Linked DNA regions of Lonchura striata. The protein of the gene in region 3 purifies or fractionates together with the protein of the main gene of each other region. This does not show direct contact. Links are inferred from orthologs where the notes say so. Each region holds a gene or a part of one and is shown on either strand. Other genes may lie near its edges.

Evidence for each region. The genes of interacting proteins can lie anywhere in the genome.
Region 1: the proteins of SSRP1 (region 3) and SRPK1 fractionate together in Homo sapiens (co-fractionation; 3 studies listed by BioGRID and IntAct, with this or other methods). This does not show direct contact. The link is inferred for Lonchura striata from reciprocal best matches to the Homo sapiens genes SSRP1 and SRPK1.
Region 2: the proteins of SSRP1 (region 3) and TOP2A fractionate together in Homo sapiens (co-fractionation; 3 studies listed by BioGRID and IntAct, with this or other methods). This does not show direct contact. The link is inferred for Lonchura striata from reciprocal best matches to the Homo sapiens genes SSRP1 and TOP2A.

Annotation. Positions count from the first base shown.
Region 1 is NC_134632.1:4,661,373-4,668,948, forward strand, and holds the start of SRPK1 (SRSF protein kinase 1), read right to left. Parts: upstream 3,021-7,576; 5' UTR 2,960-3,020; coding exon 2,947-2,959; intron 2,862-2,946; coding exon 2,801-2,861; intron 1-2,800. UniProt on the Homo sapiens protein: Serine/arginine-rich protein-specific kinase which specifically phosphorylates its substrates at serine residues located in regions rich in arginine/serine dipeptides, known as RS domains and is involved in the phosphorylation of SR splicing factors and the regulation of splicing.
Region 2 is NC_134627.1:6,903,413-6,910,578, forward strand, and holds the start of TOP2A (DNA topoisomerase 2-alpha), read left to right. Parts: upstream 1-4,146; 5' UTR 4,147-4,214; coding exon 4,215-4,247; intron 4,248-4,552; coding exon 4,553-4,696; intron 4,697-4,880; coding exon 4,881-4,971; intron 4,972-5,348; coding exon 5,349-5,412; intron 5,413-5,865; coding exon 5,866-6,011; intron 6,012-6,617; coding exon 6,618-6,715; intron 6,716-6,998; coding exon 6,999-7,166. UniProt on the Homo sapiens protein: Key decatenating enzyme that alters DNA topology by binding to two double-stranded DNA molecules, generating a double-stranded break in one of the strands, passing the intact strand through the broken strand, and religating the broken strand.
Region 3 is NC_134608.1:53,181,429-53,189,388, reverse strand, and holds the start of SSRP1 (FACT complex subunit SSRP1), read left to right. Parts: upstream 1-4,950; 5' UTR 4,951-5,036; intron 5,037-5,503; 5' UTR 5,504-5,606; coding exon 5,607-5,660; intron 5,661-5,868; coding exon 5,869-6,054; intron 6,055-6,230; coding exon 6,231-6,336; intron 6,337-6,804; coding exon 6,805-6,995; intron 6,996-7,062; coding exon 7,063-7,293; intron 7,294-7,381; coding exon 7,382-7,485; intron 7,486-7,593; coding exon 7,594-7,722; intron 7,723-7,881; coding exon 7,882-7,960. Other genes in the region: P2RX3 (P2X purinoceptor 3), read right to left, coding at 372-485, 592-669, 828-893, 969-1,062, 1,154-1,284, 1,862-2,003, 2,201-2,278, 2,358-2,451 and 4 more. UniProt on the Homo sapiens protein: Component of the FACT complex, a general chromatin factor that acts to reorganize nucleosomes. The FACT complex is involved in multiple processes that require DNA as a template such as mRNA elongation, DNA replication and DNA repair.

The DNA of each region.
Region 1 (7,576 bases), on a different chromosome or scaffold from region 3:
GGTGGGGGACTTATGAGTGTACAATCCATGTTATTTTGTGATTATTGCAACTCGCTCACTGTTGCATTCCTATTTTTGTGAATAAATAACTGGTGTTTTCTGCCAGTAAGGCAAATCCACAATAGTTGCTGCTATAGAGCACTCATCCCAGAGCTACAGGAACACCACTGCCAAGAATTTAGAAGACTGGAGATGATCAAACATTTAGTTTTTAAATACAACTACTCAGAGGCACCAAGACACACTTTTGATTAGCAGATCTGTGGGAGCTCAGTTTGAAGATAAGTACTGGCTTTCATATAAGAAAGGTATTAAAACACAAATAACAGGCAATCAAGTTTCTTTCTTCCCATCCCCACTCCCCCACACAAGCACTTAACAAGCTGTTTGTAGAACTGGCTGATAGTCCAGCTATCACAAACCAAGGGATTTCTATGGAAACCAGTAAATTTCAGTTGTGTCCTGTCATGGTTTGATAATCACTTCTGTATTTGAATGAAAAAAATTACAAGGGCAATGGAAATTACAGATATCTCACCTTCAGAATTCCAAGAACCTCTGCCTGCTCTCTTTCTACAGGAGAGTGTTAGGAGAAATGCACGCTCTACTTCATTGATATAAAATGAAACTTTTAAGACAGGAAGGAGTGAAAGAAATAGGATCATCCTGATTTGGCAGAAAAATAAGAACGTGATTGACGTTCCTATAAAAATATATATTCATTTCAAAAACATATATTCATTTCCTATTAAAAAAGCTTAGACACGGAATCATAATTATTATTTACAAGGTGTTTCTGTAAATCATCAGTTTAGACTAGTCTCGTCTAAACCAAGCAAACAGCAATATTAACTACTGGATGATGAAAAAATAAGTAATTTTCCAATTTCTTTTAATGTTTGGGGGTTTTTTGTTATTTGTTTTTATGTTTTTAATGATATTAGGTTTAAAAGCAGCTGTAGCTCATTTTTAAAATGAAAGATATTTTGAATTGTTTTTACTTCCTTCAGAACATTCTCTGCACTTTTATATAATAATTCAGAACACTAAACTCTACTTTTTAAATTCATTGTTTCATGCTTTCTACTGCAAATGTAAAGAAAAAATGTATTACAGAAAAAAATTGCATGTTTGATCTAAACTATCATGGAACATCAGATATTAAAAGCACATTGCATGTGGTTTCAAGTATAGATTTTATGAAAAGTCATGAAACAACCCAGTTAAGCCTATTTTAGAAGATTTAACTAGAGCAGCTTTTTATTTAAATAGAATAAATGTTGTGGAACTGTACCTAAACTTAGAGACTGACACTGAGTTCATTTAATTACACAGCATAAAGCACATGCAAGTTTCTTTCATTTCTGAGATACAATCTAATAAATTTATGGTACCAGGGAAAAGAGTTGAAGCATAAAGCGTAAGAATATAAACACAGCATTTGAGAAATAACATTACTCTGCACTCAAATCAAGGTTAGTGGCAAAATCAAGAGCTAACTGGCAGTGCATTCAACCTGTCCTGAATATGTGGTTAAAAAAGACTTATAAAAAAACCCTAACATTTATCATTCAGCAACCTCAGAATCTACACAGATATTAGCCTTCCCAGCTGCACTGTGGACTCTGTTGGCAGAATCAGTATTGCTGGTCTGCAGCTAGAGAAAGAAAAAAAAAATAACATGTATAGAATTAGACAATGGATTATTCATACAGAAATTAGAGAAGGAGGAGAGCAGTTCACAAATTGTCCTAATGCTACCTTCAAGGTATACCAGGGACTCATATGGAAAAGGATGGAGCCATAATGCACGTCTCCCAAACACTTTGGTTAAGGCTCCTCACTCTTCAAAAGCCCCATCTCAAAACCACTGACTCTTGGCTGAAGGCAACAAGAAAAAAATATTTTAAACCCCTGTGATGTGTCTGAGGAAGTGGCTGAGAAAGCATTACTCTAGGCCTAAAGAAAAAACCCTCCAACTCCCACTCCCAAAGCCTTAGCCTTACTATCTTTGGTCCTAGGCACCTTCAAGAAAGAAACATCCTGAGTCACGGGAGATTTTACAGAAATAAGCAGCATTTTATGGAGTATACAGAACCAGCTCTAGGACTGACATCACCTTTCTGTAGAAAGGAATCCATGAGCAGCACTGAACATAGCACTTAGTGCAGCCTGCTGAAAGCCATTGTTTAGTATTTACTCGAGTTCTTGTAATTTCTACATTTGCCTCCAAAAGTTCCCCACACATAAAGACTCGTGACATTCCTGCGGTAAGACAGAAGCCACACGAGAGCATCAAAGTTAGAGAACGAAGTAAACAGCACATCACGGCATTCTTTCGGCAAGAAAAAAAAAAAAATCTCAGGGGGAAAGAGAATCAAGAGTGGGGAGGGAGTGGAGAGAAGCTGGTTCCTCAAGCCGGCAGCTGCTGAAGCGCCCCGGGGGCTGCAGAGAGGGGACGCTGCCATCTCCCTCCAGGACACAGCCCGAGCCGAGGGCAGACCAGCACCCGCAGCTGCGTCCCTGAGCACCACCGCGACCCCGGGGCCGGGTTCCGGGGAGAGACAGCGGAGGCAGAGCCTGCCGCTCCCCGCGCAGCCCGCGGAGCCGCGGCCGGAGCCGGCGGCGAAACGGCCGCCCCGTGCCCGCCCAACCCGCCAGAAACCGGCCCGGCGCCGGGGATCCGCGCTCCCCCGCCCCGAGCGGCCCCCGGGCCCGGCAGCCCCGTCCCCGCGGGGGCGGCCCGGGGAACAAAGAGGCGGCGGGAGACAGCGCCCGAAGGAGCCGCGGCCGCACTCACTTCCTCTGGGCCTTGTCCTTCTTGGCTTTGGTCCGCTTCTTCCGGGCCTGCAGCGCCAGCACTGAGGGAGAGAAGGAGAGAGAGGCGTGAAGGGCGGCGGGCCCCGCGGGGGCCCCGCGGGCCGGCGGAGGCCGCGCCGCGCTCACCTTTCCGCTCCATGGCCGCCACCGCCCGGCGGCCCCGGGCGCCTGCGCTGCGCCCGCCGGGCTGGGCACGCGCGGCTCGGCCGCCCCCGGTGCGGAGCCGCCCCCGGCGCGGAGCCGCCCCTGCCCCGCCCGCCCTGCGCGGCTGCGGCGGCGGCTGCGGCGGCGGCTGCGGCGGCGGCGCACGCTCGGGGCGGGGCGGGCGGTGCTGCCGGTAGTGCCGCGGGGCGCGGCGCGGGCTCCGTTTGGCACCCGCCGCCGGGGCCGCTCGGGGCGTGCGCTGGCCGCCCGCGCCCGCCCCCCGGAACACGAACAGCGGCCCTTTTCCCTGGGAGGAAAACTCGCCAGCCCGTTCCTGGTGTCGGTTTGTAGGGTGCGCTGGCACTGTCAGGGCAGCACCAGTTTGATGTAGGGGCAGCTGGGGTCTGGGACACATCCTTCGATTTTCGGATTTTTTTGCAGTCAGCCACCCCCTCTGGGCCATATGCCCCTGGGCAGAAAGACCAGCCCTTTTCCCTGTGAAGGAAAACTCATCAGTCCAGGTTCCTGATGTCAGTTTGTAGGGTTTGCATGGGACTCTCAGAACAGCACATGTCTGAGGTGGTGGCAGGTTGTGTCTGGGACACATCCTTCGCCCTTCAGATTTTTGCAGCCCACTCAGAGCCACAGGCCCCTGAGCACAAACAATGTCACTTTTCCCTGGGAAAGAAAACTCCCCAGCCGAGGTTCCTGATGTCGGTTTGCAGGGTTCCCTTGGGACTGTCAGGGCAGCCCAAGTTCGAGGTGGTGACAGGTTGCATCTGGGACACATCCTGCACCGTTTGGAATTTCAGGAGGTGGCCATGATCATCTGCATGTCTGAGGATCTGTTTCTTCTTGTTCAGTGCAGTGGGAGAGCAGCCTGGGTTTCTGCAGCAAGCCCTGCCAGGAAAGCATCGTGTCATCCCACCAGATGGGAAGAACATTAGAACATTGCTGCATGCAAAACAACTGATCTTGTTGCAACTAGGTCAGGTAAGAACTTCAGGCTGCTAACAAAAATAGGCCTTTAAACTCTGACTTCTGTGGATGTTTAGAGGTATAGGTGGAATATTTGGCTATAAAGCAGGTGCTTTGTCACTTCACAGCCCATGTCCAGGGATTTGTGCTTGGCTGAACACAGAAGCCTTGTGTGTGTATGTGGGAGCAACATTATGGGGAAAAAGATCAGGATTGACTGGACTTCCTCTCAGCAGGATATTTGTTTTGCAGCATGAATACCCATGACTTGCATGCTGACATTCTGATGTCTGATTTGTCCACTGGTGCTAAACTCTGCAGTCATTGCAATAGGAAGGGAAGATTTGGAACTTTGCTGAACAAGAGGAAAAAAAAAAAACCTTTTAAGTTTTCAGTGGAGACCTTTCATGGTGCCAATAGCTAGGAATCCATTTCATCTTAAATCAAAGCTGTCATAGGAGAGCCAATAGAATCTGAAAATTAGGGCTATGCCTTTCATGGGTTTTACATTACTCATTTTGAACAGAGCTGAGAGAAGCTTGGCATGAAGCCACTGTCCAGAACAATGTAGGGAAGCATATGTGGTTTGAGAATTACTCAATACCATTTGGGCCTTCAGTTTTTCCTGTCTTTCAGTCCAAGAAGATCCAGGATTCAGTTTTCTCTGCAGTTAAGAGACTCTACACAGTCTTCTTGAAAATCCAAGTTCATATCTGGATATAACTCTTAGCCAAGGGTGGCCAGAGTGTCAAGGTGGTCAAATGCAGTTCCCATAACAAGGTGACACCACCTGAGCAGCGAGAGGGCCCTGCTGGCATGGGAGCACAGGACAGCCCAAACCTCCAGCCCTCGAGGAACTGGGCTCACAGGGACTGCTGGAGGTGACACCCCTGAGCTGCTGTGGGTCCCTGCTGCATTCCCAGGCAGCCTCACCTCAAAGGGGGCTCCTGTGGAAACAGTCACCTCTGTGAGGGTGCTCCCCACCTTCCTGCATTAAAGGGAGACTGGTGAATATTTAGTGTCACCTTCATTCTTTGAAGCTTTTTCTATGGGGGAAGAGTTTGAAAGGTCAATATCCTTGCATTAGACTATTTTGTGCAATGCCAAGGTGAGGGAGTTAAACAAGTGGTTTCATGAGCAGCAGAAGTCAGGAACCCTGCTTTCCTCCAGATTTGGGGAGGGTTTTCTTCTCCTTCTTGCCTCGTTCAGGTGTAGGACCCCAGCACAGGATGATTACCCAAGACTGGATTCTTTCCCTAGGTGGGACAACTACTGGAATATTTTACTCAGAACAATTGCTTTTCCTGGAATTTCCAGCCACCTGCCCAATTCAAACTTGGCTGAGACAGCTACCAAGCTTAAAAATTATTGCAGAATACTGACAGAAAAGGCATAAGCTCCAGTTCTTCAGGAAGTCAAGCTATCTCTGTTTTTCACTTCCCCCATCATCCCAAAGACAGCTGGTGCAGTAACCTCTGGAAATAAAAAACTTGGAGCTTTTGCCCTCCGCTGGCAGGATTCTCACTCTGTCAGAGAAATAAAAACAACAACAACAAAGTCATTCCCTCCTGCAAAACTCAACAGGATGCTTCTCCAGCTTGCACACAAAGATGTCTTTGCCCAAACAGGAACACAGGACTCAAAGCAACAAACTGGATTATCAATCCATTACATTTGTGAAAAAATGGAGAATTCAAAAGGGGATCTACCCAGCCGCATTTCCTCAACTCCATGACAATATTTAAGTTACTGGCAGGATAATTTAACGTGAAGGCTTAAATGTCAAGCCAAATATTCTACCTTCTGCTGTTCAGCCTGACTTCAGCAAGCTGTTCTGCAGTAGATTCTAACTCACCCAACTTTCTGCCTGTCCAAAGCAGCCACCTGTGTCTCTGCAGTGCTCTTGTGTGGCCTCCTGTGCCCACCAAGGTTTGCTGTGTTTGCTCTCTGCAGGCACAGGTGTTATCCCAGAGCTGGCACACACCATCCATCCCAGGCAGGCACCTCTGTGCCCTTGCATGCCACTCAGATGAATCACAAATGCTCTGTGTGCTGTTCACCTGATAGCTGGAGAAGCACAGAGCACTGGATACATCAGTTGCTTGACCTAATTAACACTGCAGAAAAAAGAGGGGATGGTATTTTGATTCCTCCTGTTCTGACCTAGAAGAAAACCACATAAACACTGCATCTGGGCAGCAAAAATTAACAAACCTATCCCACCTCCCCAAAATGAGACAAATGTTTCCTGAATTAAATTATTTAGTGAGTGGGTTAAATCAGGACTTGACCTACATGATATATTTCCCATGTATGTGTTTGAATCAAAATTTCCAGTAGCTAAACTCTGACTAACCCCACCGCCCAGTGCTCCTTCTTCCCCCTTTTAATTCCTGGCATGTTGGTGATTTTTTTTTTTTTTTTTTTTTTTTTTTTTTTATTCACAACCCAAATATAAGTAAGGCTTTTGACATCCCTGAACTGTGAACAGTGACCGTGGGGACTCACATTAACATTACAGAGCTGTGTCCCCCTCCATAATTTCACTGTCAGGGTGGCTCTGCTGACAAGTGCATACAAAATGGAGAACAGAAAAAACACATGAAACAGGGAAGTGGCAAAGAAACAGGGAAAAATCATGAGGAAGCAAGGCAGACATTTTTCTTAAACAATGAGCTGGAGGAAGAAATAAAATATATTTTCTTATTAGACAATGCAATGATAAAGTTTCCAATAATATTAGCAAAATTCTGCCTTTGAATTCTGGGCAAAACTTATTGTATTACATCAGGTAATTTTGGGTGGACAGACTCTTAACTCTACATCACATGTCACAGTTATACACGATTCAACTCTTGCCATCAAGTGATTTTGTTTCTCTGACTCCAGAATTTCATCCAATCTCCATCTTAGATTTTTAAAGATATTAAATGACAGAACAGAAGGCTTTTGCACAATGTAAATGATCTCACTATTACAGAAGGTAACCTTGTTGACAAGTCTTCATGGTTACTGAGAAAACAACACCAACTCAAACTACAGCTCTGTTTGCCTGCATTTATCACCTGAAAATTCCTTTACAGCAGTGTAAGCTGGACAAGACCCGTAGTTTCAGGCTTCAGTACCACACGTGGCTAAGCTGATGAAAGAGCTGGTTATCCAGAAAGAGAAGCCTGGCTCCCCTGCTTTCCTTTCCCTGTGTGGTCCTGTCCCTTTTGGCAGCAGCAGGCTGATAGATTAGCTCACCACACCTTGGAGAACCTCACCCAGTGGCTCAGTCTTGAGTCTCAAGCCTTGTCCCCGTCTCAAGAGAACAGTTTAAGTTTCAGTACACACTGAAACAAAGCCCAGATAAATGATGAATAAGAGATTCTGTGTTTACTTTCATAGGAGGACTTAGCAGAACAGAAAAAGCCATAACCACTGAGAGTCCAGACTAGATCCAAAAAGAGATTCAGAAAGAAAACTGCAATATTCATAGTCAAACCAAACTAAAACAAAGAAACAAAAGCACAATCACTGAGACCTGTTTGTTCTGATACCACAGCAGGGACTCCAGCATTAGATTTACTGTCTTGTACACATACACATCCCCAGCCACTCCAAACCACAGCAGGGCGAGGTGTGTCTGACA
Region 2 (7,166 bases), on a different chromosome or scaffold from region 3:
CGGGGCACACACGTGCACACCTGTGCCACCCATAAACATCCCCAGCACACCCCAGACCCCCCCCAGACTCAGCACGGACTCTAATCCTGCCTCTCTCTGCGGCTCACCCAGGGGTGCTGCTATGGGGAGCACGGGTGCAAACCAGGGCACCTCCCCTTCCCCAGCACCGGCTCATGGGGGTCCATCAACAGGTACCAGACGGTGAGTGGCCAGGGGAAGGGGTGCCCAGGGACCCCAGCCCAGCCCTGGGGACGTGGTTCACCCCACTGGCAACCCCACGGGACGGGGTTGGAGGAAGGAGAGGGGGAGAATGGAAAATGGAGAGAGAGGGAGGATGGAGATCAATCTCAGTCTTCCTTTGCAGGATGGGAAAGATGAACCAGAGATTTATGGAGCGATCATCCCTCATGTGAGAGTCCCTGCCTGGCCGGGGTCTGCGCTGCCCCAGCCAGGGACATTGAGCCCTGGGAGGGGACAGGAGTGGGAAGCGTGGGGGACATCAATTGGGTGTCAGAGCTGCCCCCCTGAACGGCAGCACCAAAACAGCCAAGTTCAATCTCCACACTGCTCTACCACAGGGTCTTCGAGGTCCCCCTGGGAACCCCGGTCCCCCTGGGCCCCCCGGCCCCCCTGGCCCACCAGGTCTCCTCTACCTCAACGTAAGGCCCAGCACTGGTGTGCACACGCCTGTGCCAGAGCACACACACGTGTGAGTGTGCACAGCACCAGGGCCCCCCCAAACCTGCCTGTCTTTGGTTGCAGAGGATGCACCCCGTGCATGCCCAGCAGCCCTGCAAGCAGCCGGTAAGCCACGGCCTCGCTGCCCCAAGAGTGTCCCCATCTCCTCCCTGTGCATCAGGAGGGGTGTCCCTCTCCCTGTGCCCAGCAGCAGACACAGACTCTGTTTGCCTTCACAGGCACCTGCAGATCGCAGCTGGCCATCAGGTGAGGAGGTTTCCCAGGTGTTTTGGGGGCTGCAGCCTCCCTGGAGACACTTTTCCTAAAGTCTTGCCTCCCTTCCTTGGGTGCCGGGACCGTGCAGCACGGGTCCCTGGCACCACTGCTGGCTCTCCCACCCACTCCCACCGCATCCCTGTGGGGCCAGTTCCCATGGGAGCATCCAGGCCCTATGCTGGGACACCTTGTGACCCCCCACCATCTCTGGGCTCTGCAGATGCTGGTGCCCCTCAGACAGAGCCATCGGACTCCCGCGCTGATCTCCGGGTGCGTCCAGGCTGCGGCCCCAGGCAAACCCCCCCCAGCTGCCCCGTGCCCCACAGCAGGAGCCTCACCCTCTGCCTTCCCCCAGCGCCAGACGTGGGTTTTCAAGTCCAAGGAGCTGATGGTGAAGGCGAGCAGTGCTGTGCCCGAGGGGAGCCTGGTCTATGTGCGGGAAGGGAGCAACGCCTTCCTCCGGACCCCCGCTGGCTGGAGCCGCCTCCTGGTACCGTGTGGGGTCCCTGGCAGGGCTAGGGGGGCAGGATCCAGGGCTGGATTTGGCACTAGGGCAGCAGATCCTCAGGAAGGAGAGGATTTCCCCTAACCTGTCCCTCTGCTTGTGTCATTGAGCAGCTGGAGGATCCGAAGTCGTTCTTGGCTGGTGATGACCCTTCTGCCTCCACCCCGCAGTACCAGGTGAGGGGTGCAGGAGCTGCTGGGTCCACTCATGTCCCTGTAAGGTGACAGAGCCCTTGTCTGCATGATGAAGTGGACAGACCTCACAGGACTGTTTTCTCCTTCTTCTTCCACCTCTCCATCCAGGAGGTGAAGAGGGTGCAGCCAAGAGGTCCCAACACGCTGTCACTCATGCAGTCTCCAACAGACTCACTGGTGAGCCCTGCTGAGGGTCTGGCCATGCTGGGAGGGATGTGCATAGCATGGGCTGGATGTCAGCAGGGCAGTGCCAGCTCAGCATGAGCAGAACATGGGGTTGTGTTGGTCTGGGGAGGGTGCCCCCAAGTCATGGCACATGGATGCGTGTCCCCAGACTGATCTGAGCTGTGTTTTTGCAGATCCAGAAGGAGGAGGAACACGGATTGCCCCAGATTCTGCCAACCACCACAGCCCCACGGATCCCATCTGTAAGGAATGCCTGGCCCCAGGGTGGGGATGAACAGCCAGTCATGGGAGAGGGGGGAGAGGTACCCAGGGGACCCCCAATTCTGGCCAGCACTGCCAGAGGCTCACACCCTCTGAGAAGAGAGGAGCAGAGACCTCCATTCCTCCCTGCCGCCCCCAGCTCCGCCTGGCTGCCCTCAACGTGCCGCTGTGGGGTGACATGAGCGGGATCCGGGGCGCTGACCTGCAGTGCTACCGGCAGTCACAGGAGGCCGGGCTCCACGGCACCTTCCGGGCCTTCCTGTCGGCCCCCAGCCAGCACCTGGTGTCCATCGTCAAGCGGACAGACAGGAGCCTCCCCATTGTCAACCTGAAGGCAGGTACCCCGTCCCCAGGGGTGGCACAGCCTCACAGCCCCCGTGAGCTGCTGTGGGTGGGGGACGCCCACCCAGTCCTGCTGCCGTGCTCAGGGATTTGGGGTGCTGGCAGAGCAGAGAGGATGTCATTGCCCACACAATGCTGGGGACAAGGGGCATTCTCCTGGCCCCTGGCTCAGCACCGTGGCTCGTGCCCACAGGGGCAGCTGCTGGCCAAGTCCTGGAGCTCCCTTTTTGGGGGTCAGTCTGGTGCTGTCCTGCAGAGTCCCATCTACTCCTTCAACGGGCGCAACATCCTGGCAGATCCCCTCTGGTGAGTGTGGACAGGTCCTGGATGGATGGCCCTGTGTGGGAGCTGGAACGGGGGGTCTGTGCTGGCTCCCACCCTGCAGAAGTGCAGGAGCAAAGAGCTGGGGCACCCCAGGGTGCCCCCAGCCCCTCTCACCCTGTCCCCACCCACAGGCCCCACCGGCTAGCCTGGCACGGCTCCACGCCACGGGGTGGCCATGCCCACCGGTGGGATTGCCAGGGCTGGCGCAGCTCTGGCTCAGCCGAGGGCATGGCCACTGCCCTGGGCGAGGGCCGGCTGCTGGCCGGCCACCGCCACAACTGCTCCATACCGCTGGCCGTGCTCTGCATCGAGGTGGCTTTTCCTTACCGGCACATGTGGTGACAATGGTGACACGCAAGCAGGAGCTCCAGGCATTCTTCCAGGCCTGTGTGGCTGGGGAATGTCCCCGGGAGCACCATGGGAGGTGTCGGAGCTGTGTCGGAGCACTGAGGGGACACCGGGTGTGCAACCAGACTGTGCCATGCCCAGCTCCAGCTGCGCCATCCCACAGATCCCCGTGCCATGGGGCAATGTTAGGCTGTGCCTCCAGCCTCCTAAACCCACTGGAGTCAACACGGTCACCACCCAGAAATAAAGATACAAAAATGTTGGTTTTTATGACACCATGCTTTGTTCTGGGGGCACATGGCAGCAAGGGACTGAGGGGACACACCCGGGAATGGGAACAGGGACTGGAAGGGCTGGGAGCAGGCTCTAGTCCCCTGGGGATTGGCAGTAACTGGGAGGGGACACCCTGGCACAGGTCTGCATGTCAGCAAGGTCTGTTTTGGTCTCAGAACACAGTGTGGTCCAGTATATCCCAGCCAAATCTTGCTAAGTGTATTCCTGTGGGTTCCTGAGGCCCTCCCAGTGTATCCCAGTGGGTGTCCAAGGGGTTGGGACATTTTGTCCACTGAAACCCAGTGATTCCAAATGTATCCCAGTGCATGTCCAGGGTCTGCCCAGTATCCCATGTCCAATGGGTCTGTCCAGTGTCCCAGTTCAATAGGTCCCAGTGAATCCCTGGGGCTTGCCCAGTGTGTAGCAGTACCCCAGTGGGTCCACAGGGTCTGTCCAGTGTATTCCAGTGTGTGTCCGGGGGTTCCCAGTGTGTCCCAGTGTATCCCAGTGTATCCCAGTATGTCCCACCACCAACGGCAAACGGGAACCTCCGGCACCCTCCCTGCCGCTTCTCTATTGGTCCATCCTGCTGTCCATCTCATCGCTCTCCCTCCCGACTGGCCGGTTTGAACGCGCGGTGCGGCCTCTGATAGGTCAGAGGGCGGGCAGAGTTCCAGCCGTGTGCCCGTCCCCGCACTGCGATTGGCAGAGCGCCGGGGGCCGCGAGCGGGGATTGGCCGCGCGTTTCGGCGGGACGAGCGGAGGTTTGAAGGGTCGTTGGCGCCGCCATCACCGCCTCAGCCGCTCTGGCCGCCGCCGCCGCCGCCATGGAGCTCTCTCAGCCCTCGTCACCTCTCCGGGTGCGTCCTGCCACCACCGCTGCCCCCGACCCTGCGGAGCTTTGTGATCCGCCTCCATACCGTCCCCTCGAGCCCCCCTCAGCCCCGCCGGGCACCCGCAAGTTCGCCCTGTCCCCCCCTCAGCGTTTCCCCGGGTCCTTCTCAGCCCCCTCCTTGGGTCTCCTTCAGGGTATCCGCAGGCCCCTCTCTCGGCTCTTTTCCCAGCCCTCCCGCTCCTGCGCGATTCCGATGCTCTTCCCCGCCTCGGCCTGGCCCCATGCGTTGTCCCTGTTCGCCCCCTCACCGCCGCTGCCTCTCCCCCACAGCCCGCGAACGAGAACATCCCCGTGGGCAAGGCCGATGGCCCCAAGAAGCTCACGGTGGAGCACATCTACCAGAAGAAGACGCAGCTGGAGCACATCCTGCTCCGGCCAGACACCTACATCGGCTCCGTGGAGCTCGTCACCCAGGTGGGAGCAGGGGGCAGCGGGGCTGAGCCCCCCGAGCACCTCGGGGCAGGCGGGGAGCTCTTAGCAGCTGTTTACAAAGCACAAAACATCTGCTTATCAATCACAAAACAACTGCTTTACAAACTGATGCGCACGGAAGAGGGGTTGTATCTGGGCACTTACAGATTCCTTCTTTTTTTCCCAGCAAATGTGGGTTTTTGATGAAGGCGTTGGCCTCAACTGCAGAGATGTGACCTTTGTGCCTGGCTTGTACAAAATCTTTGATGAGATTCTGGGTAAGCTGACATCCATTGAGTCAGTGAATGACGGGTTATTAACGGATATAAATTAGTAAGAACTTATTAGCACTGCTTAATAGCAAGCCATTCATTTGAAACAAAGAAAAATTTCAAAAATCTAATTACAAACCTGCCCAAAATTCTCCTTTTTATGTCAATGGTTGCACTGAAGGAATTCAGAGGTCATTTCCAACCTTCATAATTCCATGATAACTTGCACTCCTCTTTGTAATTTGCAAAATATTTTCATGCTGAGATGATTATTAGCAACACTGTAGTGACTTTTTATGTTCATTCTACTGGAACACTTCATAATTCATCATTTTCCCTTGATTGAGAATGTAATAAAAAAAAATATTCTCTTTCCTTCCTAGTGAATGCTGCAGACAACAAGCAGAGGGATAAAAACATGTCATGCATTAAAGTCACAATTGATGTGTAAGTTTGGTTTCATTGTTGTTGGTTGCCTTCAGCTGTTCTGCAAAGCTGAGGTGGCACTGCAGGGCTGTGGGGCTGATCTGAGATAGCCCAAATTTAATTCACCAGTTGTGGAAAGCCTTTCTCTGTGCTTATTCCCCTGGTCTCTTACAGAGGCCTGACTGGGGAAATGGCTGCTCTTTCGTTGCTGTGGTTTTCCACCTCTTCCTCTCTCTTTTCACCCTGATTGAGCACAGACAGGGGGGTTTTGTGTGTGGGTCCATTTCAGAGCCGGCATGTGCAGATCTGGGCATTTCTGTGTTGCCTGTCCCCCCTCTGCTGGCAGCTGCTGCACTTGCTGAGCACACATTTGTTCCTGGTGAAATGGTGCCTTTTCCTCAGAGCCTTTTGGTGACTTCTTTCACAGCTCAGCCATTTGCAGCCTTAAAAACAGACTTTTCTTTCCCTCCCCAGAGAGAATAACACAATCAGTGTGTGGAACAATGGGAAAGGTATCCCAGTTGTTGAACACAAAGTGGAGAAGGTCTATGTGCCTGCTATGATCTTTGGACAGCTGCTGACATCCAGCAACTATGATGACAATGAGAAGAAAGTCACAGGTGAGGAAGGCTCTGGTATGCACTAATACCTCTGAGCAGCTCTAAGTGTGTGACCTGAACTAGAAAGGGCAGGAAGGGAGTCCTTAATGCAGTCTGAAAACTGAACAAGGGGAAATTTAGATGAGATATACAGAAGACATTCCTCTCTGTGACGGTGGTGTGGTTCTGGCACAGAGAAGCTGTGGCTGCCCCACTCCTGGAAGTGTCCAAGGCCATGTTGGACAGGGCTTGAAGCAACGTGGGCTAGTGGAATGTGCCCTGCCTACAGCAAATAGTGGGACTGGATGGGCTTTAAGGTTCCTTCCAAACCAAATTATTCTATGATTCTATGAAAATGATGTTCTGAATCTATCAGAGAAGTCTATGTGCTCTGTTTAACATAACAACAGTGCAAACATGGGAACAGGGAAAATGGTCTTTGAATATTCTCTTAAACCCTAATTAAATCAAAGTTTGTAATTGCATACTAAGCTTGTAGAATATTGTTGCTTCTTGACAGTTGTCTTAGAATTGGGTGGACATTGACAAACTCCAGTTAGTCTTGGATTCTCTTAGATGGTTTTGGACAAAGAGAATAACACAAGTCTGTGTTCCTTCTAATTCCAGGGGGGAGAAATGGTTATGGAGCCAAACTGTGCAACATATTCAGCAAAAAATTTACTGTGGAAACTGGATGTCGTGAATACAAAAAGTTGTTCAAGCAGGTAGGAGCACTTTTCTTTCCAGGGAGTTTATAACTGAGGTTTTCAAATGAGATCCTAAGGTTTTGTTTCAAAACTAGTTCAGTGTGATTAGAGTAAATTTGACCCACAAAATGTAATTCAAAGGAATAAAGAAATTAGCAGACAGCATCAGAATCTGGTTTTTAACCAGAGTTTTTGTTTAATTCAAAGATATCTAAACCACATAAACCATCTTACTGCTTTTAAAGACTAAGGTAGTTATGTGTGTGTTTGACTTGAAAGTCACCAAAGTTCCTTTCCTCAGACGTGGACAGACAATATGGGAAAGGCTGGAGAAATGAAGCTGAAATACTTTGATGGAGATGATTACACCTGTGTCACTTTCCAACCTGATCTGTCCAAATTCAAAATGACTGTTCTGGATAAGGACATTGTAGCACTGATGTCTCGAAGAGCCTATGATATTGCTGGA
Region 3 (7,960 bases):
CCCAACCCTGCCCGTCGGCCCCCCAAAACCACCCCGCGTCCCCCAAGGCTGGACACGGGTGGGTGCTGAGAGCCACGGGTTTATTGGGGGGGTGCAGCCCCTGGCATGGGGTGGCAAGGACAGGGAGGTGCTTGGGGGGGGCACCCTGGGGACAAGGGACAGGGCTGGGGCACCTCGTATGGACACTGGGGACACTGGGATGTACTGGGACAACCTGGGGACAGTCAGATGCTGATGGGGCTCATAGGGGGAGCACTGGAGACTGGGTGGGCAGTAGGAGCCCGACGGGGGTCCCAGCAAGCCCCTCACCAGGCCGTGGGTTGCCCCACAACGAGGTGGACAGGCGAGGGGCTGCCCCATGGCCCCCGGGGCTAGAGGCCGAGGGAGAAGGTGCCCGAGTCGGTGGATTGCTTGTCCCGGGAGCAGGTCCCCAGCGCCCCGGGGGGACAGGCTGAGGGGGTGGCAGGCACGCCGGCCTCTGACACCTGTGGGGCAGGGGACGGGCACTGGGTGAGTCACTGCACTCAGGGGGGCCGATCGAGCCCCCCGGAGGTGTTCCCATCCCCAGGGCACCCTGGCCCCATGTCTGACCTCCTCGAACTTGCGGGCCTTGTAGTGCTCAGCACCCTTGAGGAAGTTGAGCAGGATGATGTCGCACAGCACCGTGCCCTGGGGGCAGCAGCGTTGGGGTGGGGAGGCCCCACACTGTGGAGTACCCCCAGATCCCCACAGAGCCAGGCCACTGTCACCCTGCAGCTGTGCTCTGTCCCCATGCCCCGTGGCCATGGGATTTCACCACTCCGGGGCTGAGAACGTCCACAACTCACCACACCGATGGAGGTGAAAGCAGCCACCGTGTTGATGAGGGTGGGGACGATGCCAAACTTCCCGGCCTGGGGGAGCAGAGCCCTTGTTGGCCGGAGTCCCCGACCCCCTGTGACCCCACGAGTCCCCGACCCCACACGTACGCTGCCATACACCAGGACATCAAAGCGGATCCCAAAGGCCTTGATGAGGGTGCGGCGCTGGGAGCCATCAGGCCAGCGGTAGTATCTGGCATGCCTGCAGTAACATGGGGTCATGGGGACACAGGGACATGGGGACAGGAGCCATGCCAGGCAGTGCACATGCCTGTGCCGTGTCCTGGCCATACCTGAAGTTGTATCCAGGGGCAGGGGTCCGGGCCAGGCTGTCCAGGCGGGTGAAGGAGTAGTGGGGCAGGCAGCGCTCCCAGGCCCGGTCCAGGTCACACACCCACCCGATCTTGATTCCCAGCACCCCCCCCTGCCCCAGCCCCACATCAGCACCACGGACCCTGGCCCCGCGGCACCAAGTCCCCACAGTTTCACAGTTCTGCATCCCATGGCCCTATGCTCCATGTCCTATGAGCCCACATCCCGCATTCTCGTCTCCCCAAACTCCACATCCCCCTGCACCTCATGTCTCAAATCTCCATGTCTGTACACCCCATGTCCCAGTGTCACACATCCCAACCCCCATCCATGTTCCTGTGTCAAAGCCCCACATCATCACTCAGTGTCCCGTTTTCCCGTATCCCTATGTCCTGTTCCCAACATCCCTCATCCCTGCATCCCATGTCCCCATGTTATGCGAGCCCATGTCCCCATCTTCCATGTCCACATCCATCACCCCATATTCCCCCCATCCTATGTCCCCATGTCCCACATCCCATGTGGGATGTGTCCCCAAGTCCCATGTCCTCAAGTCCCACATCCCATGTCTCTGTGTCCCCAGCCCCCATATCCCTATGCCCTTATATCCCAGCTGCTTGTACCCCTATGTCCCCACACACACCCCATTCCCACCCCGTGCCTCCCATGTCCCCTGTGTCCCCGCTCACGGTGGCAGCCAGCGCAGGGAAGTCCTGCCCAGCCAGACGTGCCACGTCCCCCAGGCGCAGGATGGGGCACAGGGGCTGCAGCTGTGGGTGGAAGCGACACCGGCCCAGCTCCACCCCACTGCCAGGGGGTGGCAGGTTGGTCCTGGGGACACAGGGGGACACAGGGGACACGCAGGGATGTGCCATCAGGCAGCAGTCTGGGGTTCATGGACCCACATCCCAATGTCCCCCCACCATCTTGTGCCTGTGTCCTCATGTCCCCTGTCCCCATGTCCCTGTGTTACCCCATCCCTTGTCCTCATGTCCTGCCGTGTTCCCCCTGTGTCTTGTGCCACTCACTTCTCAAAGCCAAAGAGCGGGAAGCGGACGCTGTTCTTGATGAGGAGGGTGAAGTTCTCAGCTTCCAGCATGACGGGGCTAGAGGAGGGGGGTGATGCTGAAGACAGGCAGGGGCCATGTCCCCTGCTCCTCCCCGTGTCCCCCCAGCCCCACTTACACATCAACGGTGTCCACCTCGGGCGGGCACCAGCCCTGGATCTCGCAGGTGCGCAGGGTCGTGTTGTAGGGGACGCAGCGCCCTGTCAGCACCCCTGGGACCCCCGGACTGCTGTCAGCACCTCTGCCAGCACCCCCGAGATCCCAGACCCCCATCAGCACCCCTGGGACCCCCAGACTGCTGTCAGCACCCCTGGGACCCCCGGACCCCCATTGGCACTCCTGGGACCCTGAACCCCCGGCTTCCCGGGCCCCCCTCAGCCCCTTGAGCCCACCGAGGGTCCCTCACTCCTGGTGGTGGCTCCCCCCGGTCCCTCGGCCCCCTCAGCCCCCGTTCCCACCGGGGTCCCTCACCGTTGCTCGTGGCCGGGCTCAGCTCCCGGCAGTCCCGGTCCGCCGAGCAGTGGAACGCGGCTTCGCTCTGCGGGGCGGGGGTCAGCGGACAGGGGGCTCATCGAGGGGTCCCCCCGAGCGCCCCCTGCCCCTCCGCACCTCCGGGCACACGCCCTGCGCCTGGTCCTCGGTCCGGATCTGCTTGGTGACCACCACGAACACCGAGGTGCCCTGCGGGACGTCGCTGTCACACGACCCGCCCGGGGGTGGGGAACTGAGGCGGGGGTGGCCCCGCGCCCCTCAGCGACCCCTCCGGTCCCCGTCCTCACCTGGGGGGGTGTGACATAGTCGGCTGTGTCCATCACCTGCCCCGCGTAGCGACCCACGCCCTTCACCTTGGTGACCACGGAGGACTCGATGGCGGTGTCCCGCACCTGGTACGCTTTCTCATGGAGGAACACCCAGCTGGGACAGCACCGCGGGTGACGCTGGGGACAGCCATCCCCGGACACCACCGGCACCCCCCGGGCCCCGCCGGCCTCCCCCGGCACCCCCCGGACCTGCCCGTGACCCCCGGCCCCCGGAGCTGTCAGCGCCAGCGGCTGCCGATCCCCGACAGATTCTTGTCATCCCCTCGCCAGTGGCTGCTGTCACTCCTCGGGAGCATCCAGGGACAGGGACCCCAACGCGGGTCATCCCCTTCTGTCATCCCCTGGGGCCGAGCGGCTTCTCTGCCGCTCGGTGTCACCCACACTGTCCCTTTCCCGTCATCCACCCGAGATGCTGTCCCCCTTGTGTCACCCGTAACGACACCTTGCTGTCCCCATCATGTCACCTGCGCTGCCACCCTCCCGTCACCCGCACCGGCACGCTCTCTGGCTGTCCCCCTTCTGTCACCCGCACCGATATCCTCTGTCCCGCCTTGTCAGCCGGTACACTCCCCTGGCTGTCCCCATCGTGTCACCCGCTCCGGCACACCTGAATTCCCGGCACTGACACTTTGTCACCCGCTCTCCCGTCCGTCCCCTGCTCCATCACCCCCTGGCCACCCCGTCACCCCGCGCCGCCGGCCGGTGTCCCCTCGCTGTGACCCCGCTGCCACACGCCGCCATCCCCCATCACCCTTGTCACCCCCGGTGTCACCTGCAGCAGCAAGTGGCAGTCACGGCGCTGCCGCGGTGCCGGGAAGGGGGCTCGGGGTTGTGTCCCGGGGGACGTGCCGGGGCGGGGTGTCCCAGGGGTGCCCGCCGGTTGTCCCGGCGGCTGCCAGGGGGGCTCACCCGATGAAGTAGGCGAGGATGAGGAGCTGGACGCCGCGGTTGACGACGCCCACCACCCAGCTCTTCACCACCACCGACTTGGTGGTCTCGTAGGAGAAGAAGTTGCTCACCCAGCGGGTGCTGGACCGCGGGAGGGACATGGGCAGCGCGGGGGGCGGCCGGAGACGGGGTTACGGGCAGGGCAAGGCAGGGCTGCGGGCAGGGCAAGGCAGGCAGGGCTGCGGGAACCCAGTGGGATGCGGGAAGGGCAGGGCAGGGGTGCGGGCAGTGAGGGGGATGCGGGCAGGGCAGGGCGCGCTTGGGTGCAGGCAGGGGTACCGGCAGGGGCACGGGCAGGGTGCGGGTATCGGCAGGGTGTAGGCAGCACCCGCAGGGGTGCGGGTAGCGAGGGCGGTGCGGGCGGGCGGAGGCGGGGGTAGGGCGGGGGCCGGGGGCGGGGGCACGGCCCGGGGGGACGGGAGGGGTCGCTCCCCCGTTCCTGGAGGGATGGAGGGGCGCAGGCGGGGACATTCCCCGGGGTGCCTGTGATGGGGAGCGCCAAAGGGGGGACACATTCCGGCAGCGGGGAGCCCCACATTGGGGTGCACGTGGGTGGTGCGCCCCAAACTGGGAACGCCTGGTTTGGGGGGGACACCCCTGCAGAGGGGAGTGCGAGGGGGCGGCCCGTGCGCGGGTTCCGGGGGTGCCCCGCTCTGGGCCGCCCCATTGTCCGGTTCCGACACTTTGGGGCGCCCCGGCTTTGGGGCGGGGGGGTTGTCCCCACATGAGGTGACGTCACGGGGCTCGCCCCGTGCTGGCCAATGGGGTCTCTCCCCACGCCTGGTTCTGGGCGGGGCAAAGCGGCGAGGGGCGGGGTCTCGGACGCGGTGACCACGCCCCCTAGGTGGGCGGGGCCGCCCGCGGCGCGGCGGGGAGCGCCGCACGGGTCCGCCCCGCCGCCAGGGGGCGCCAGCGCGGCCCGGCGCCATGGCGGAAACCCGCGCGACTTCCGGCGTTGGCGGCCCCGCGCGGTTCGCGCTGCGCAGGCGGGAAAAGCGGCGGCGGCGGCGGCGGCGCGGGGGGGCCGGGTGGGTGTACCGGGGCTCGGGGCCGGCCGGATCCCGCGGGGGGCCGGGTGGGTGTACCGGGGCTCGGGGCCGGCTGGGGCACCCGGAGTCATGGCAGGCCGGCTGGGATGGGGGAGCGGCCTGGGGTGGAAGTGGGCTGGGGGTCGCTGGGGAGGCCCGGGAACGCCTGGGAGCCCCGGCTCGGCAGGAGTTTGTGGGTGCGGGGGTGGTTTGGGGTGGCCTCATCAGGGAGGGGAAGGGCAGGGGTGATGACACAGCGGTGGCCGAGGGCTGCAGGAAGGGGCGGCTTTGGGACCACGGCACAGCCGGGGAAGGGGCGAGTTGTGCCGGGGGTCGCCCCCGTCAGTGAGCCAGGTGCCACCACGAGAGGCAGCCTGCGGGGCTGAGGCGGTGAGGTTTGGTTTTGGGGGCGCTGGGGAGGGCCGGGAGCCTGTCGCCAGCCCGGCTCACCCCCTGTCCTCCCGCAGCTGCCGTGACTGACTCCTCTGCCGTTGCCCCGGGCATGCCGGGCTCGGGGGGCTGCTGAACCCCCCGACTCATCCCCGTCCCCTCCCATAGCCCGCAGCCGCCATGGCTGATACGCTGGAGTTCAACGAGATCTACCAGGAGGTGAAGGGCTCCATGGTAAGCGAGAGAACATGGGGATGGCCCTAGGGGCACTTCCAGCGTTGGGTGTGGATGGGGGAAGTGAATGCTCTGTGATGAGGAGGGTGTGGGAGATGAAATTGTGGCTGGTTGGTGGTGTGGGTGCCTGGAGGGGCGCACCCAACAGGGCCATGGTTCCTCTATGCTTCCATGGGACTGAGTCCCCTCATGCCCAGCTCTCCCACAGAATGATGGGCGGCTGCGGCTGAGCCGGCAGGGCGTCATCTTCAAGAACAGCAAGACAGGGAAGGTGGACAACATCCAGGCCTCAGAGCTGGCTGAGGGTGTGTGGCGGCGCGTGGCACTGGGCCACGGCCTCAAGCTGCTCACCAAGAACGGCCACGTCTACAAGTATGACGGGTTCCGGGAGTCGGTGAGTCCCTGTTCCCTGCTCCTGCTGCCCTGGCCCTGTTCCAGATCCAGTTGTGCTCCCTGCCAGCCCCAGAACAGCCCTGCCCCCTGCATCCCCATGGCCAGGGGCTGTGTGTCACCTGGGGCACTGGGCACTGCTGGTTCCTGACGGTGTTGCCTCCCTCTTGCCCAACCCAGGAATTTGACAAGCTGTCAGATTTCTTCAAGGCCCACTATTGCCTGGAGCTCGCAGAGAAGGATCTGTGTGTGAAGGGCTGGAACTGGGGCACAGTGAGGTTTGGAGGTGAGTTCCAGTGGCACCCCAAAGGCGTGGGGTGGGATGTTCCCACCAGTGTGTGGCTGTTCTGCTGCCACATCCATTCCCTTAGGAGCAGCTGCTTTCTAGGGATGTCCTCAGGGAAAGTGAGGACATTTGCCATCTCAGGAGAGCCCTGAATACCAGGGGGCCATGCTTGGTGTGGAATCTGCACATGTGTGCCGTTCACCAGGGAGCCAGGGGAGCTGGCGGATGTGCCTCCAGCTAAGGGACCGGGACAGATGGGGTCAGACAGTTCCTTTTTTTGTGTTTCTGATCGGTGCCAATTTCCAGGGATGCTGCTGGAAGGGAGAAAGCCTGGAGCTTTTGGAGGGTGGGAATGCAGTGATGAGAACAGAGGCACTGCTGGATTTTGGGAGAGGAGCGAGGCCGTGGCTGGAGATGGGATTTGTGGGGCACAGCTCTGGGCTGGCTGTGATGTCCCTGTCCCCACAGGGCAGCTGCTGTCCTTCGACATCGGGGAGCAGCCGGTGTTCGAGATCCCGCTCAGCAACGTGTCCCAGTGCACCACAGGCAAGAACGAGGTGACGCTGGAGTTCCACCAGAACGATGACGCCGAGGTCTCACTCATGGAGGTCCGGTTCTACGTGCCCCCCACCCAGGAGGATGGTGTGGACCCCGTGGAGGTACGTGGGGCCGGCAGGAGGGTGGGGGTTGGCAGCGAGGGACCCTTTGTGACCGCTTCCCTGGCAGGCCTTCGCCCAGAACGTGCTGTCCAAGGCGGACGTGATCCAGGCCACCGGAGACGCCATCTGCATCTTCCGGGAGCTGCAGTGTCTGACGCCGCGCGGGCGCTACGACATCCGCATCTACCCCACCTTCCTGCACCTGCACGGCAAGACCTTCGACTACAAGATCCCCTACACCACCGTGCTGCGCCTCTTCCTGCTCCCGCACAAGGACCAGCGCCAGATGTTCTTCGTGGTGAGTGGGAATGGCTCAGCCCTCCCCCAGAAGGGCATTGGGGGTGGTTTGGGGGGTTTCGTGTCTTCACCTCCTCTTCTCTTTCCAGATCAGCCTGGACCCCCCGATAAAGCAAGGCCAGACCCGCTACCACTTCCTGATCCTGCTCTTCTCCAAGGATGAGGACATCTCCCTGACCCTCAACATGAATGAGTGAGCTGCCTGATGCCACACTGCTTCCCAGACCCCTTGCTGGATCCTGAGGGAGCTACTTACACCCCAGACCCTGTTCTCACCTCTGCCCTCCTTCCCGCCTCACAGGGAGGAGGTGGAGAAGCGCTTTGAGGGGCGGCTCACCAAGAACATGTCCGGGTCCCTCTACGAGATGGTCAGCCGGGTGATGAAGGCACTGGTGAACCGCAAGATCACCGTGCCCGGAAACTTCCAGGGGTGAGCAGCTGCAGGGCTAGTCCCTCTCTTTCCACCTCGTCCTCATGGCCTGAGGGAAGGGGCTGTCTGTGTGATTTGTGCTGGGGAGCAGGGCCAGTCTGCCAGGGCTGGGCACGGGGAGGATGTTTGTCCCCATGGATAGAAGCGTTTGTCCTGCAGACACTCCGGAGCCCAGTGCATCACCTGCTCCTACAAGGCCAGCTCAGGGCTGTTGTACCCGCTGGAGAGGGGCTTCATC